2 linked regions of the Arabidopsis thaliana genome follow. The protein of the gene in region 2 interacts with the protein of the main gene of each other region in a biochemical or structural test. Each region holds a gene or a part of one and is shown on either strand. Other genes may lie near its edges.

The links. The genes of interacting proteins can lie anywhere in the genome.
Region 1: the proteins of TOPP4 (region 2) and GEM form a complex in vitro, tested with the Arabidopsis thaliana proteins (one study listed by BioGRID).

What each region holds. Positions count from the first base shown.
Region 1 is NC_003071.7:9,539,343-9,547,395, reverse strand, and holds GEM (GRAM domain family protein), read right to left. Parts: upstream 6,269-8,053; 5' UTR 5,874-6,268; coding exon 5,537-5,873; intron 5,437-5,536; coding exon 5,335-5,436; intron 3,462-5,334; coding exon 3,190-3,461; coding exon of another isoform or gene 3,154-3,189; exon of another isoform or gene 2,807-3,153; coding exon 2,618-2,806; 3' UTR 2,358-2,617; downstream 1-2,357. Other genes in the region: PFK5 (phosphofructokinase 5), read right to left, coding at 1-1, 93-233, 354-428, 508-609, 697-792, 896-1,007, 1,090-1,163, 1,235-1,322 and 1 more.
Region 2 is NC_003071.7:16,624,111-16,632,153, forward strand, and holds TOPP4 (type one serine/threonine protein phosphatase 4), read left to right. Parts: upstream 1-3,105; 5' UTR 3,106-3,319; coding exon 3,320-3,536; intron 3,537-3,852; coding exon 3,853-4,412; intron 4,413-4,490; coding exon 4,491-4,679; 3' UTR 4,680-4,692; intron 4,693-4,887; 3' UTR 4,888-5,302; downstream 5,303-8,043. Other genes in the region: AT2G39850 (Subtilisin-like serine endopeptidase family protein), read left to right, coding at 6,516-6,599, 6,714-6,805, 6,909-7,000, 7,189-7,420, 7,557-8,043. UniProt on the Arabidopsis thaliana protein: Serine/threonine-protein phosphatase that possesses phosphatase activity toward para-nitrophenyl phosphate (pNPP) in vitro. Acts as a positive regulator in the gibberellin (GA) signaling pathway to regulate plant growth and development.

The DNA.
Region 1 (8,053 bases), 7.1 Mb from region 2:
CCTAATACAGAAGGCCCAAATAGCAATGGTTAAGTACTTAAAGCAAAGAGACATGTTAGTGAATATCCTAAATGAGAGTACATGAAAGTTACCTCAATGTAAGCAGAGTTAATTGCTCGTTGAGCTTCTTCAACAGCAGTATCAAACCCAAAAGTTTTATCCATATGTAAAATATCATTGTCGATGGTTTTTGGCACACCAACTACAGCTACCTTTATCTTTCTTTTGCGGCACTAGAATTGAAAGCAAGAATGTGAATGGTAAATCAAACTAGACAAACTAAAGAAAAAGAAAAAGAAAAAATATCTTCACACGAACTACACTTAGTTAGTTTCAAGTGTTAAGTAACGAACCTCATTGTGTATAGCGTTGGCGCCAGCATGAGTTCCGTTTCCACCGAGCACGAAAAGCATGTTGATTCCTCTCTCCTAAGTAAATTCAATTTTCAGAATTCAGAATCTGTGATCTCATAAAGTTCCTTAAGGACTGAAAAAAACTAAATGATACCTCCATGCTGTCGACAATTTCACTCACACTCGGGCCTCCACGTGAAACTCCAAGCAAACTTCCTCCAGATAAATGAATATTCTGAACCACTTTCCTTGATAACTGAAAGCACAAAAAAGCAAACCATAAGCCAAAACAGAAACAGAGATTCGGGTTCCTTTTTCTCGAAAGAGCACAATCGAACAATACCGGCATTTCAGTTAGATCTTTATCAGAGAAGCCTCGATAACCGAAAGGAATCCCCACAATGTTCTTAACACCATAAATCTCAAGAGTAATGACAATCTGCAATGTATCCATACAACACAACAATCAAAGGTCTTTAGTAGGACTTCACACACACACACACACTGTTTCTATAATGCCAAAGTTTCAGATACAAACTCACATGTCTGATGACATCATTGAGACCAGGGCAAAGGCCACCACAAGTGATAATCGCAGCTTTCACTTCTTCCGGCCTGAAGTATATCTTCTCCCTCGGACCAGCACGGTGAATCCTAAAGATCCCATCACACCAATTATAACCAAAAACCAAAAAAGAACCACAAATCCAAACTCAAAGAAAGTCCAAATGTTTACCATTGTTCAACCCAAGAACAGTCATGATCAAGGCACTCAGCTCCAGCAGAAGTAGGTGAGGAGTAACTAATAACCTAATTTCCAAAACAAGCCAAATCAATCTTACAAAGTTCAGTAAAATAAAAATAAAAATCTGAAGTTAAACCTTGAGAAGAACTCTATCATTGTTATTAATGTATCCATGCCATTCTTCATCAGAAGGGTAACCACCAACAAAATCTTCCGTCGGAGACCTAAATTATCAAAACTCCAATTTAATAGATTTTCCAAAACCCAGAATCTGGTACCTCAAGCTAAAGTAGTGATCTGACCTCATCTTAAGACAAAACGTTGAACGAATGGCTTCAGCATCAGGTAAGACATCAGTGATGTGAGGTATGCTGAATCGTTGCTCGAAATCTTTCTCATACTTTAATTTCCAATCTGGATCGCTGAGATCGATCGATGAAGCTGAGGTTTTGCTGTGTTGAATCTCCGAAGCTCGCACCGAGACGCGAGATCGTGATGAGGGATTCACCGGAGATCTCGATTTCCGGAGGATTAAGGAGGTGAGTCCGTGAGAAGGAACGAGAGAAGAAGAATTGTTCTTGTAAGGAACGGAGATCCCGGAACTGATCGCCTGAGAAAGAGCATCCATGGCGAATAAGAAGATTCCGATCGGAGATCTTTTTGCTTAGTTTTCTCAGTCAACTAAGTTTTTTTTTGGAGGGAGTTTTTGCCAAATTTACAAAACAAAAAAAACACAACGACAGTGTTAGATCACAGTACTTTGGCTCTTTAGATTAACGAAGAAGTACGAAACAAAATCTAACTTCATTTTTTGTCTGTAATATTTATCACGCCTCTAAATATGTAAAAATCGTCTTCAACAAAATTAGTGACTAGAACTTCTGTGAATAAATTTCGAATTTAGTTAGTGATCTTTGGAATAAATCCTAATCAGATGCTCTTATAATTCGTAAGTTGAATCTGATTCGATGAAAAGATAATGAAATACTTTTCGAGCTGATAAACCCTTTAACACAAAAAAAAAAATACTTTTCGAGCTGATGCTTTGCAGAAGTCAAAGGAGTTGTGTATTTTGAACTTTATTGGGGCAAATTAGTAAATATCAAAAGTTGTGCGGCAATTTCGTACATGGGTGCGAGTAAATTTCGTTTCTTAGATCTACTGGTTCGGTATATTTTTCAGTTGTCACTGGTGGAAGCAATTTGAATCGGTTCTAATAGTCCGTTGTCCCTGGGACGTGTTGAATTCACATTTGTTGATCCTACTACCTCAGAGTTCTTCAACATAGAAACTAAAAGCAACTGCTATTGAATAAATTGCAATTAAGCTGTCTTCTCATAAAAATATCAAAAGATAAAACATTTTAAAGTAAATTTGTAAAATTCAGCTAGTTTCTGTAGTAAATAGGATATTGAGATTAAATGCAAAATAATGTAAAAATTTGAGTCTTCTGATATGACTAAGCAAGAAGAGGTGGAGATCAACATGCTTTTATGGTCATCAGTCATCCAGTTATGTATCACACCGACCTTAAAGCACCGGCTTGCAAAGAATCTTGCAGAGACGTGACAGCGCCGTCGTAGTTTAAAAAACCCATGAACCAAAACTCATGATTGTCTACCGAAATCACCTGTATGTACTTCTCTGCAGGATTGACTATGCTCGCTGATGGATTCACTGCTTTAAGTTGATGTAATGGAATTACTACCTATTTAAGAAGAAGACACAAAGTGTTCATCAATCATCAATGTAGCAAAGCTTATTACAATGAATAAGCAAATGCAATCGTATCGGATTGGTTTCGATGAAACAAGAGATGAGAAGCTGATGCAATCATGTTATTACTATCACAAAAAAAAAGTCCATGGATTTATGATTCCGTTAACAAGTCCAGATTATTTTTCTATCCAAATGAATCACTCTACGAAGGCTCCTTAGTTGATGCTACTAACAAATTATAACGAAACATTGTCTCAAGCATTGACCAGATAACCAGCCAACAGATTTCGAACAGTTAATGATCACAAAAGTAATAATATGGTGTCTTCAAAATGGCTATAATTCTGAAATGAAAGGTGTAGGACACATTACCTTGTAATAGCTCCATTCGGTTTGATCACCGTTTTTATAGGAGAGAGGGTTGTCACTACAGTAAGCAAGTTTGGCACTGGATATATATAGAACTCCCATAACTGGGCCAGCTGATGTTGACAAGTAACATGCAAAAGAATTTAGCAACTGTTCTTCGGGATCTGTCTCAAAGGTTTGTCGGAATATCTTCTCATATCCTCCTTCTGCAAAGACCTTTGTACTCTGTGCAATTCTTCCCATTGCAGCATCCGCAAAACTCGGAGCAGTTCTCACTGATTAAAAAGAGAAGATTATAAGATATATCAATCAGATAGATCTTGAATGAAAATGCTAGCGAATCAAACAAGTAAAGCACATCCAATCAAGGAAGAGATGAATTGCGAGTTCACACACAAACAATTGAAACGTATATTGAATCATGTTATTTTTCTCAGTCACCCAAATTCAAACTTTACGTCCATACTATGTAAATGCAGGCATTAGACATTTTCCCTCAAACTCCATTACTCAAACACTTACCCAGGAACTCATCTCTATCCATAACACGACCATGTCCCAAGCTGAAACTCATATCCACAGTTCTAGCTCCTAACTCACCAAAGGCTGTTTCTTCTTTTTTTTTTAATGTTCATCCAAATGTATTATCTAATCCAAGTTCCTAAAAGCAATATAGCAACTCTATCTGTTCCGGAGCATCTATTCAATATTTCACTTCTTTAACAAAAGATCTACTATATTTGAGCGCAAACATCCATTCCAACAATGCTAAACATAGAAGATCGATTCAAACATGATATGAAATACAAAAAAACTGGAGCAGTTCTCACTGACTAAAGTAGAAGATTGTAAGAGAGATCACTCAAACGAATCCTGAATAGAATATGCTAGAGAAGCGGACAACTAAAACACACCCAATCAAGGAAGACATGAGTTATAGAGTTCACACATGAACACTCTAAACATAAATTTAATCGTGTAAACTTTCTTAATTCCCCAATTTCTATAGTTTTAGCTAGTCATCAGACATTTTCCCTCCACCTCCATTGCTCAAACATTCACCAAACCACCAAGAACATCACTTGATTAGAGTGGTAATTCTTCAGTCCGCAAAAAGGCTTTTTGATCTCAAAACTAGGAGCTAATTCCCTACTACTTAGACTACATCACGAATGACCATGTCCGAAGGTCAAACTAATATCCAGCTCTTAATTCGTCAAATGGCGTTTTTGATTAATGTTCACCAAAGGCATTAAAATTCCAAGTTCCAAAGAAGTAACATGGCAACTAATACCTAATCCAGAGCACCTAATTTCAATCTGATATTTTATTTGTTACCAGACAATCTACTAAAAACTTGACTGCAAACATCACACAGAGAAAAAACAGCTTTAAGGTTATTCCGACTCTCTTATAAACACTTGTCATGGGTCAAGCTACAAAGTTTGACAGACTGAAACTGGGAGAATCTTCTTGTTCAAATCCAAGACAGAGATTTTTTAATTACTGTGATCACAAACTTGACAATATCAAAAGATCATCCTCTAATACCGAGCAGATGTGGTATTAATCTTGGTTCTGGAGACAAATCGAAGGCAAGAGATCCACGTAGAACAATTGTGATTCTAAACTATTTATGAAGATAAACCTGAGAAAAACCGAGATATTTCTTCCAACACAATATGATTCCATAACTAAAATAGTCCGTTTACTATTCTTAGCAAGAACTCAACAAGATCAAAGGTCATTGTCTTTTAATGTACTGCCTAAAGACTGAAATTCAGGGGAGTGTTCTGTTTGTAATTAAGAAAATTTATCAACACAAGCCAGTAAGAACGTCCCATTTTATAGCAACAACATGTTGAAAAGAGATCAAAGAATTGAAGATCATAAAAATACACTTGAGCACTATCGAATATGATGATAGTTACTCAATCCTAAAACCAGTACTAACCTAAACACCAACATACAACAAAGGAAGAAAACCATAATACAGCAAAAAAAATCTTTTATGTTTCTCTAAAAAAATGTAGACTTTGAGTAGAACAAGCTACTTTTAACAATACCCTATGAACAATTCTTGATTCCACAGAACTCTAAGCATTGAATTTGATTACAAATTGATATTAAAAAAAAACGAAAACTTACGGTGTTGCCATGTGTTCCCGGCAAGGCTCTCCGTCTTCTTTGCTGCTTCTGCAACCCTCTTTCCCCATCTACCAAGCACTCCTTTCACAGTCTCCATCGTATCTGAATCCAATTCACAGACACAGAGAGAGATCCACAAAAAGGTAAATAAGGCTACAATACACAATCTCAATTCTCACCGCTACGATCACAACACTCTTACCTTTCAACGAAGCATCTGAAGTCTCAGCTGGAGAACGAGCAATATACGGATTAGATCCAGCCGAAGAAGACGATGCAGCTTTCTGATCCGGTTCCTGAGATCCAGACACCAATTCGGGGCTCCAATGTACAGATTTCTTCGATCCAGACGATGTTCGACTCGGAGCTTTCACCGGTGTCGAATCGCTTCCCTTCGTCTCGATTTCAACCTCATCGGACAAGGCTATCTCAGTGTTCGCATCCTCGACTCCCTTCGTTTTCGAATCGACGACGCTTAGCGATGGATCCTTCACCGGGACCTCAGTCTTCACTACGGTATCTCCCTTCGGCGGCTCCATAAATTGGTCTCCAAAGACGGATCGTGGCGAGTACGGCGGCGCGTGAGATAAACGGTTTGTTTGAGTTTGAATTTTGCAAGGATTGGTATTGGGACTAATGGTATCGTTCCCTTTGCTCTTTTTTTTTCTTTGGTAATTTTTTTTGTGTTATATATATATACCAGTAAATACAGATTTGTTCCCTACATTACATATGATGATAATTATGATACCTTTGATTTTCTTTGTTAGACAATTATGAGGTATGACTAAGATCAATAGGGACATGAACATAAGAGTCTATGTTTTTTTCTATGTAAGATCAATACCTTTGATGTTTTGAATTTAAAAAGAGGTTCAATGTATGCAATATATTATCAGAAAATGTTTGAGGAGTAATATGAGTTGTATAGACTTCACACGTTCTTCACCCAACTACCTACTACTGAGATTCACATAGATTTGATGAACGGTTAAGGACACTAAATCTACAGGAGACAATATCACTTCTTTTACCTATAATACATTGTCATATAGCACTCGGTCCCTTATGATAGCTAACCGAACCAAATTTACATACTTAGCATCTCCAATCCCACTTTAATTTTGTCCTCTAAAACTCTATGATATAGTACATTCTCTCCATCCTCATTCTATATGTTACTTTAAAATAGAGAAAATTGTAGGATTACTCTATATATAGAGTGATAGATTGGAGATAAATCATACTCTATTCTAGAGGAAATAATAGAGATCATTAGAGTGGTCAATTTACAAGACAATGAGAAAATGATAAAGGAAATGGACGAGAACTAGATAGTAATTACGTGTGAAGAATATAGAGAATTTGGCAGAGAAATAATAAATTGAGTGAACAAAAGTACACTTCTTAAAATTTAAGGAAAGTCTAGGTTTTATATTTTTGGAGGATCTTTTATCATGTTTTATAAACTAAATAACGTTGGTGAATTGATCAAAAAAATTATTTTTCTTTTTAGATTGTTTGAAGGTGGAAAAATATTTCGGTAGTCAATGATTTGATTAAAATAATTGGATTGCGGTTCCAAACTTGAGTTTCGTTGAAATTATTTTTTTTACTTTTTTTGCACTAAAAGATAGATTATATATGAAATTATATAAAAGTGGCGATTAACAAGATAATTCCATAAACTAAGCCGACGGATAACATGAAATCTTCTGAAACTAAAGCCCAAGAATATGGGGAGCTTACCAACACTACTGCTAATGGAGTTTTGTTGGACTTATATATCAGAGTTTATTGGTACAATCTACAATAATAACATCTAATGGAGTTTTTTTTTTTTTTTTTTGGGTAAATGACATCTAATGGAGTATTGATTATTTAATATTCTAAACAAAAAAAAATCAATTGAATATCTCGTGAAGTTTTTTAAGCACGGTGTATTTATTTAGAGGTTTCAAGATGTTCTATTTTCTTTAATGTATATAGATTATAAATTAAAATACTAATCAATAACTCCCCTTAGATCTTAGATTTTTTCATATAAGTGATAACGGAAAGCTACTTTGGGCTTGATAAAATACGAAAAGTTACGAGGTTAGGCCACATCCACGAAAAGCTAGAAAGAGAGGCCTGCCAAGGCCTCGTCCAAACTTGTACTACTAATCAAATTAATTAAAATTTCTTTATTGGTAACTTTTTAATATATTCATTTGGTCAAAGCTGGCAGGAAAAAAGTTTTCAACTTATAATTTTCTTATGAAGAAGATACTGATACAATGCATATTAAGGTCAAAGCAAGAGTCTAACAATTTATTATTCAAGGAATATAAATAATTGTTAGGTAGGTTCTTATTGAAATGAAGCATTTCACACCGTAATAATGATATAGCTGTAGAATATGAACAATGCGCGTTTGCTTGACTGTTTCGTTGTAAGTTTGTAACAATAATGGCCACCAAGTAATCTGTCACTAGAATATTGCAACAAAATAAAAACCATAAATATAACTATAATGATCTACTAATTTATTAATTTAATTAACATGAAAATATGACAGCTTTTGCCAGCCCTTGCTCGTATAATCAGTCCAGATAACACATTACAACGAAACATATAAAATAACTTTTTTCAACAGAAACGATTATAATATACATCTAAAATAATTAACAGTTGAAAATTTTGATAGACATACTATATATGAATATGAACTTAAATA
Region 2 (8,043 bases):
ACCAAAAAGTTAGATTTGTAAACGAAAGCAAAAAAAAATTCTTCTTTTTGGGTTTTGATGGAGACGCTCGTTCCATCGGCTCTAACTATTTGCCTTTAAACTTTGGTTTTGTTAAATTTTCCTTGTTTTTGTTTTTATGGTCTCATACCCTCACCGAGTTTTTAATGAATCTATAGCTACATTGAAGATATGTCATTTTATTTTTTAACTAAAACTTTAGTTTCAAAATTTGTATGATTCTTGTAATTGTTTTTGGGTTTCAAATATCCGACTCATGAATCCATGAGAAGTAGTATAACAATGTTTGCACTATACATAATATGGGCGTATTAACAAAGGTCATACTCTAATACACGATAAAGATGCGCTTTTGCAACGTTACCACAGACAACTTTATAATGGGAATTAAGCTTTTATGACATTACAAACGACGGACCAATAATAATATTGTTATTTATAATTTGAGGCATCAATCTATAGGAAGGTCGTGACCGGTGATGACGCAGCAAAGGTGAAAGAGAGGCTTCAAAGTGGAATCAGACACCCAATTTTTACAGAACAAAAGCCTAACCTATTGTCATGTTTAAGTTCTTTCTTTCGATTAAATTACCTTTTTTTTGGGATCAAATTAATATTTTGGGTTAAAGACAGCATCAGATCAAATCTAGCTTTTTTCAGCAACAGTTTCCACCTTGAGATCTGACCATTTCTTTATCAACTTGCTAAAGTCGATCTCTGTATGGACGATCCATAACTTATTTTCTATTAAGGCTGCTTGTTTTTGGGAATTCTCATTTAAAGAAAATGCTTATCTTTTCTTTTTTCTTGTCAAGTTATATATTTTATCTTAAGTATCTATACCCCCAAAGATGTTTACTTATTTTTCATCATGAAAATGTTAAAACATTTTAAGCATTTGCGTTAGTTTCCTATTACATCATTATATTCCTCAGTTAATCTTACAATTTTTTTTGTGAATGTAATTAATCTTACAATTTAAAATGTCTGAACAAATGTATTTGTTCTAGACTTCTAGTTCAACAAGTATTTATTTCTTGTTAAGAATGACTTTTTAAACGATCAATCTTTTTTTATTTTTGGTAACATAAAAACGATCAATCTTATTGAAACTTTCCTACACATGGATCAAGTTGTATTAGTCTGATACAATTATTGTAACAAAATAAAGTATATATATATAGCGAAGAATTTAGCTGAGTTTGAGTAGCCGATGCAAAAATGCTGCATATGTCTTTATTCCTTTAATCACCTAAAATACAAGAATTTACTTTCTCTTATCTCATGCATGAGACATCTTATCCAAGTTGTTATAAATCTCTAACTTTGTATCTGTAAAGATTTTTGTAGTAAAAAGCCTTGAGAGATGAGAAACGTGGAATTGAGTTGGAAAGAATGACTCAAAACCTTTACAATATTCACCCAAAAAAAAAGAGAACTTTATGATCGTAAAGAAAAGAAAGGAAAAGAAAAGAGACGACTATTTTCCATTGCATTGATGGGCTCTTTCAAGCCTCAACATACGGATCATTCCGACTTAATCCGGTCCATAAAATTTGCATTTGCATGTTTAAACGATATTGACTTTATGACTTTATCAACCAATGTAGGCCACCACTAGAGTACCGTACCTAGAGATGTTAATGATGGGTTAAAATCCACTGGTACCCAAAACACACATAAAATTTTAAGCTCATAGATCTATTTTTTCTGGAAATAAAACACAGGTTTAAAATGGGCTGGGTATCCAAATAAATAAAACACATATGGGTTTACCTCATTGGGTTATGGGTACCCACGATTTTTTTTAAAATCATTTTTCAAGTGAATCAACATTTTTTTGTCAAAAAAGATTTCACATTTTTTTCTCCTAAACCGCGATTTAACAGTTTACCACCAAAAAAAAAATCAACATTTTCCCGCCAAAAAAGACATTCAAAATTTTCCCGCCAAAAACGACAATCAACATTTTCCCGCCAAAACGCAATTCAACATTTTCGTGCCAAAAACGACATTCAACATTTTCCGCCAAAACGCAATTCATCATTTTCCCGCCAAAAACGCGATTCAACATTTTTCCGCCAAAAATGATTTCACATTTTCCCGCCAAAAACGCAATTTAACATTTTCCCGCCAAAAACGACATTCAACATTTTCCGCCAAAAAGATTTCACATTTTTCGGTCAAAAACACAATTTAACATTTTCCCGCCAAAAATGATATTCAACATTTTTCCGCCAAAAACGCAATTTAACATTTTTCCGCCAAAAACGACATTCAACATTTCCGGCCAAGAAAAGGATTTGACATTTTTCCCGCCAAAAACGCAATTTAACATTTTTCCGTCAAAAAACGCAATTTAACATTTTCCCGCCAAAAACGCAATTTAACATTTTTCCCATCAAATATATATGTAATACAAAAAATAAATATAATTTAAAATATATTTATAAGCAAAATATAGATACAACATACATATAATAGTATATTAACAATTAAACATAAATTATAAGAAAATAATAAAAATCAAGTTGGGTACCCACAGGTAGTCTCGGAACAATCAGGTTTTTTCGGGCTTTACCCACTAAATCAAAAATCCATCTGGGTTTTTTAAAGTTGGGTTTTTGGTGGACGGATTTATTTTGGATTCAGGTCGGGCTGGGCTTTTTTACCCACAACAACATCTCTAACCGTACCAATTCATTTTCTATGTAGAATTACATAACTATAGTTTTTCCTTACAAAAAGGATGAAAAAATTCTGGTAAATGATACATTTTGCATCCTTCGTGTTCTTATAAATATACTAAACACATCATTATTCACACAACTATAAGAAGAAAAAAATAGGTACGAAACATTGTTAATAATCCCAAATGATTGATTGAAGTTACCACATTTATTCTTTGAATTACTTGTTAGGTTGATTAGTACACAAAAGTAACACGAACCTACTAAACAACTTGTTAGATCTCATAAACGGCCCATTACCGATTAAGCTAAAGCCCGTTTTGGAATTTCACTAAACGACGTCGTCCTGTATCCCTCATCTTTTCTTCTTTAACTTGTCAGTTATTTTCTCAGTTTCTTTTATTTCAATTTTCAAAGGTGTTAATTTCGTCCCCATCTCCGTTTCTGATACTTTAATTAATACTCATTGAAAAAATCAATTCGAACTAAAAAAAATCTCGAAAGTCTTTGCGCGTAATTTTCTTCTTTATTTTGTTCTCACTGATTATTTTGCATTAGCTCTTTTCTTTTTTGGGGTCGAAAAAATTAGGTTTTTTTTTGGGATTCTGTTGATGGCGACGACGACGACGACGCAGGGGCAGCAAACGGCGATTGACTCGGCGGTTCTCGATGATATAATCAGGCGACTCACGGAGGTCCGGTTAGCTAGACCAGGAAAGCAAGTCCAGCTCTCTGAAGCTGAGATCAAACAGCTCTGTACTACAGCTAGAGATATTTTCCTTCAGCAACCCAATTTACTTGAGCTTGAGGCTCCCATCAAAATCTGTGGTATCTTCCCAATTTGATTCGTTGATTTTAATAATTTCGTCGGAATTGATTTTAGGGTTCTTATTGTGTTTCTTAGATTTTCCAAAAGTGTGAACTTGGTTAGGTTTTGGGGATAAAGTTGTTAGACCATTGTGAGACCTTTTTGTTTGATGTTGTGAAGTGACTAGAATCTGAGTGAGAAATGTTTTGGCTTTTTGTGGATAATGATTGAGTGGAGAGGCTTATCTTGTTGCTTATGATACTGTGTGTGTTCATGAAAAATCCTATCCCGTTCTGTGATTTCCTTATGGTTTGTGGTGTACATGTCTTAAACCAGGTGACATACATGGGCAATATAGTGATTTGTTGAGGCTATTTGAGTATGGTGGCTTCCCTCCTAGTGCCAATTATCTATTTCTTGGGGACTATGTGGACAGAGGCAAACAGAGTCTTGAAACAATATGTCTCTTACTAGCTTACAAGATCAAATACCCTGGCAACTTTTTTCTACTAAGGGGAAACCACGAATGTGCTTCTATCAATAGGATATATGGATTTTATGATGAGTGTAAAAGGAGGTTCAATGTGAGAGTATGGAAGGTTTTTACTGATTGTTTTAACTGCCTTCCTGTTGCGGCGCTTATAGATGACAAAATATTGTGTATGCACGGTGGACTTTCGCCGGATCTTGACCATTTGGATGAGATTAGAAACTTGCCGAGACCAACTATGATTCCGGATACCGGGCTTCTCTGTGATTTGCTCTGGTCTGATCCTGGGAAAGATGTTAAAGGATGGGGAATGAATGATAGAGGTGTTTCATACACCTTTGGTCCAGATAAAGTTTCCGAGTTTCTTACGAAACATGATTTAGATCTTGTGTGTCGTGCCCATCAGGTAGATATTTTTCAATCATGTCTCTTTGATACTACTGCTTTTGTGATGTTAACAAGGGAGTTGGATTTTTTATGGCAGGTCGTGGAGGATGGGTATGAGTTCTTTGCTGATAGACAACTTGTGACGGTGTTTTCAGCTCCTAACTACTGTGGTGAATTTGATAATGCTGGTGCGATGATGAGCGTGGACGAGAACCTTATGTGCTCGTTTCAGATTTTGAAGCCCGCTGAGAAGAAGACCAAGTTCATGATGTCCACAAAGATTTGATACTTTCATTGAGGTTAGTCAATAGTCTGTCCTTGGCGGAAACCAAAACGAAACTAGTGAATGAAAGGATTCTCTTGCACTGATTTGTTCATGTTATTCATTACAAAGTCAAGTTCACATTTCTGTTGAACATGATTTCTTTTGGATTCTTCCAGGCTAAACTTTTTACTTAAATGGGTCTTGATTTCGGCTTTTCCTTCTTTCACAGATGGATTTGGTCTTTCTTGAGAAATTGATTGAAACCATTGAAGATTTGGCTGTGAAGTGTGTACTTATGGTAGTGAGAACTCTTGGAAAGGAGCAAGACCTTCTTAGTCTTCTAATCTCTTTCTTCCCCCAAATTCACTTTCAGCATTTTTTTTCTATCTTCTTTTATGGGTTTTACATGATTTTCATCTGCCTGTTGGGATCACATAGTTGGTGTGTACATGCATATGGTCGTTTCTTGGATTTTAGGACACCAAATGAAAATGATGTTATAAAAAAGGTTTAGTATGATGAGTTTCGTCTCTTAAGCGGCATGTGAAAGTGAATGAGACATAAGTAACGCATATGAACATCTTCAATTAACCATCATAAATATCGAATGAGCATCTAAATTGGACAACAAGTTTCACACATGTTCATCATGTTTAAGTAAAAGAAGAATTTGAGAAGCTATTGAAAGTAAAGTCCACTGGTTTTGGTATGATCGTGAGTGAAGTGATATATGATCCGTTTGGTGGACTCGGGAAATAGAATAGAATATAATAATTGGAGGGACTGAAATTTTATGTTGTTCTTTGTTGTGGATGAGAAGTAAACACGGAAGCGATAAGTTCGTAAAAGTAACTTTTTTTTTGGGTTGCAAACGGGAACCAAAACCACATGTATCCAATTCTTTAGACACATATCATGTCATTATCCTATCTTTGAATATGTTCATATTCTTAGTCCATTTCCTCACCAGAAGATGTTGGACAAAACGTATCCTTTGATCATAGTATCCTCAAACATTTCCTACATAGTATTGTGACCATGTCATATTCTTCTAGACTTCCTAGTTCCTACATAGATTATGACCATTTCATACTATTCTCAAAACTCAAACAAACAAAAAAATCAATTTTGAAATATAATTATTTCTAATTTTCATATTTTTGTAAATTGAATACACAAGCGTTCGTCGTATACGACCATTGTTTTCAGCGTGTAAGTTTAGCAAAAAAAAAATCTTAAAACTTGTGGTTCATTTGGAAAAGTAAGAAAATATACACGAACGTAATAAACACAAACAAACAATTGAAACATGAATGTACAGGTTTAGTGTTATTATCTGACCACATTGTGCGCGAGTGTGGACCATGTGGACGTTATAAGTTTCATCAAACCAAGCATACATATATATGTGCGTCAACGTAGACCCTCAAGTTTTCTTGATTTTCACTCGAATCAATACCGTATACTCATGTTTTATCGTAACATAGAAAAAAAAAAAATCATGGACTTTCTCAAGAATCACCAAAAAAAGCATGCAGCTTCATAATCGAAGAATAAGATTCTTTAAATTGATTGATGAGCGTCTGCACTATGAAATGTTTCGATTTCAATCTTCTCCTCCAATTTTCTTCTTCATTAGTCCTTTTTCGCTCCCAATATCCTTCATGAAATTTCTCTATAAATAGAGACATAAAGCATTAACATGCAATGCAACAAAACTTAAGAATATTAGAGTCAAATAAATTTTAAAAGAAAGTTGACAGTAAAAAAAAGCCTTAAAGAAAAAGAATTAGAATTAGACCTTATAAAAAAAAAAAAAAAAGAATTAGAAAGATTGTTCTGGTGAGTGAGTGAGGGATGGCTATAGCTTTTCATACCTTTCTTCTTCAACTGCTACTCTTCTTCTTTGCTTCTTTTGCGGAAGCAAACGACTCGCGAAAGGTGAGAAAAAATGGACCTTTCTTCTTTAACTAATAGCGTAACGTTTTTTTGGAGATACATATAACGACGAATGTTTGAATTTTAACATATAACTTCTTGCTTTCTATGGTACAGACATACCTTGTGCAGATGAAAGTTGGTGGACATCGATATGGGTCAAGTTCCGGTCACCAGGAACTACTAGGCGAAGTTCTTGACGACGATAGGTTTGATTTTAATTATGCCTTATTCTTTAAGTCATATAGGTTTTGATGAGATATATTGGTTCAAATTTCCCAAGAAGCCAATCCTCTATGTTAACACATGCAGCACCTTAGCGGATGCATTTATCTACAGCTATAAGGAGAGCTTCACCGGTTTCTCGGCAAGTCTCACACCAAGAGAACGGCAAAAGCTGATGAGTAAGACCACAACTGTTTCGTCACGTTTGCATTTCCTTTTTTTTATACAATTGATCAGTACAATACTATAACACGCAATGACGTAAAAGCCAAAAAATGTAGAATTATAGCCTACTGCTATATAGATTGATATCAATGCATAGTAGGGACGTGGTAATAACACACGGGTTATGTTAATGTTGATATAGGGAGAAGAGAAGTATTGGAAGTTTCACGTAGCAGAAACCTAAAGCTTCAAACGACAAGATCATGGGACTTCATGAATCTAACATTAAAAGCTGAGCGAAATCCCGAGAATGAGAGTGATTTGGTTGTGGCTGTCATCGATTCCGGCATTTGGCCCTACTCTGAGCTCTTCGGTAGCGATAGCCCTCCCCCTCCTGGTTGGGAAAACAAATGCGAAAACATAACTTGCAACAAGTACTATAATAAACCTTTACTTATGATAAAACAAAAATATGTATGATTTTCTCTTTTCAAGATGACATGGTTAGGAATCTTGAAAGTTGGAATTAAGTATGAGAATTAATCTTGCTATCATAAACTACAATTGCAGCAAGATCGTTGGGGCTAGATCATACTACCCGAAAAAAGAAAAGTACAAGTGGGTTGAAGAGAAATCGGTGATTGACGTGACGGGACACGGCACACACGTAGCCTCCATTGTTGCTGGCAGGAAAGTAGAGAAGGCGGGGTACTTTGGGTTAGCGGAAGGCACGATGAGAGGCGGTGTTCCCAACGCGAAGATCGCCGTTTATAAAACATGTTGGAGAGTAATAAGAAAAAATGGTAGAGAGGATTCAGTTTGTCGAGAAGATAATATCTTGAAGGCAATAGATGATGCGATCGCGGACAAGGTCGACATCATCTCGTATTCTCAGGGGTTTCAATTTACGCCACTGCAAAAAGATAAAGTCTCTTGGGCGTTCTTGAGAGCACTTAAGAATGGAATTTTGACTTCAGCCGCGGCAGGGAACTATGCGAACAATGGGAAGTTTTATTACACTGTTGCCAATGGCGCACCTTGGGTCATGACCGTTGCA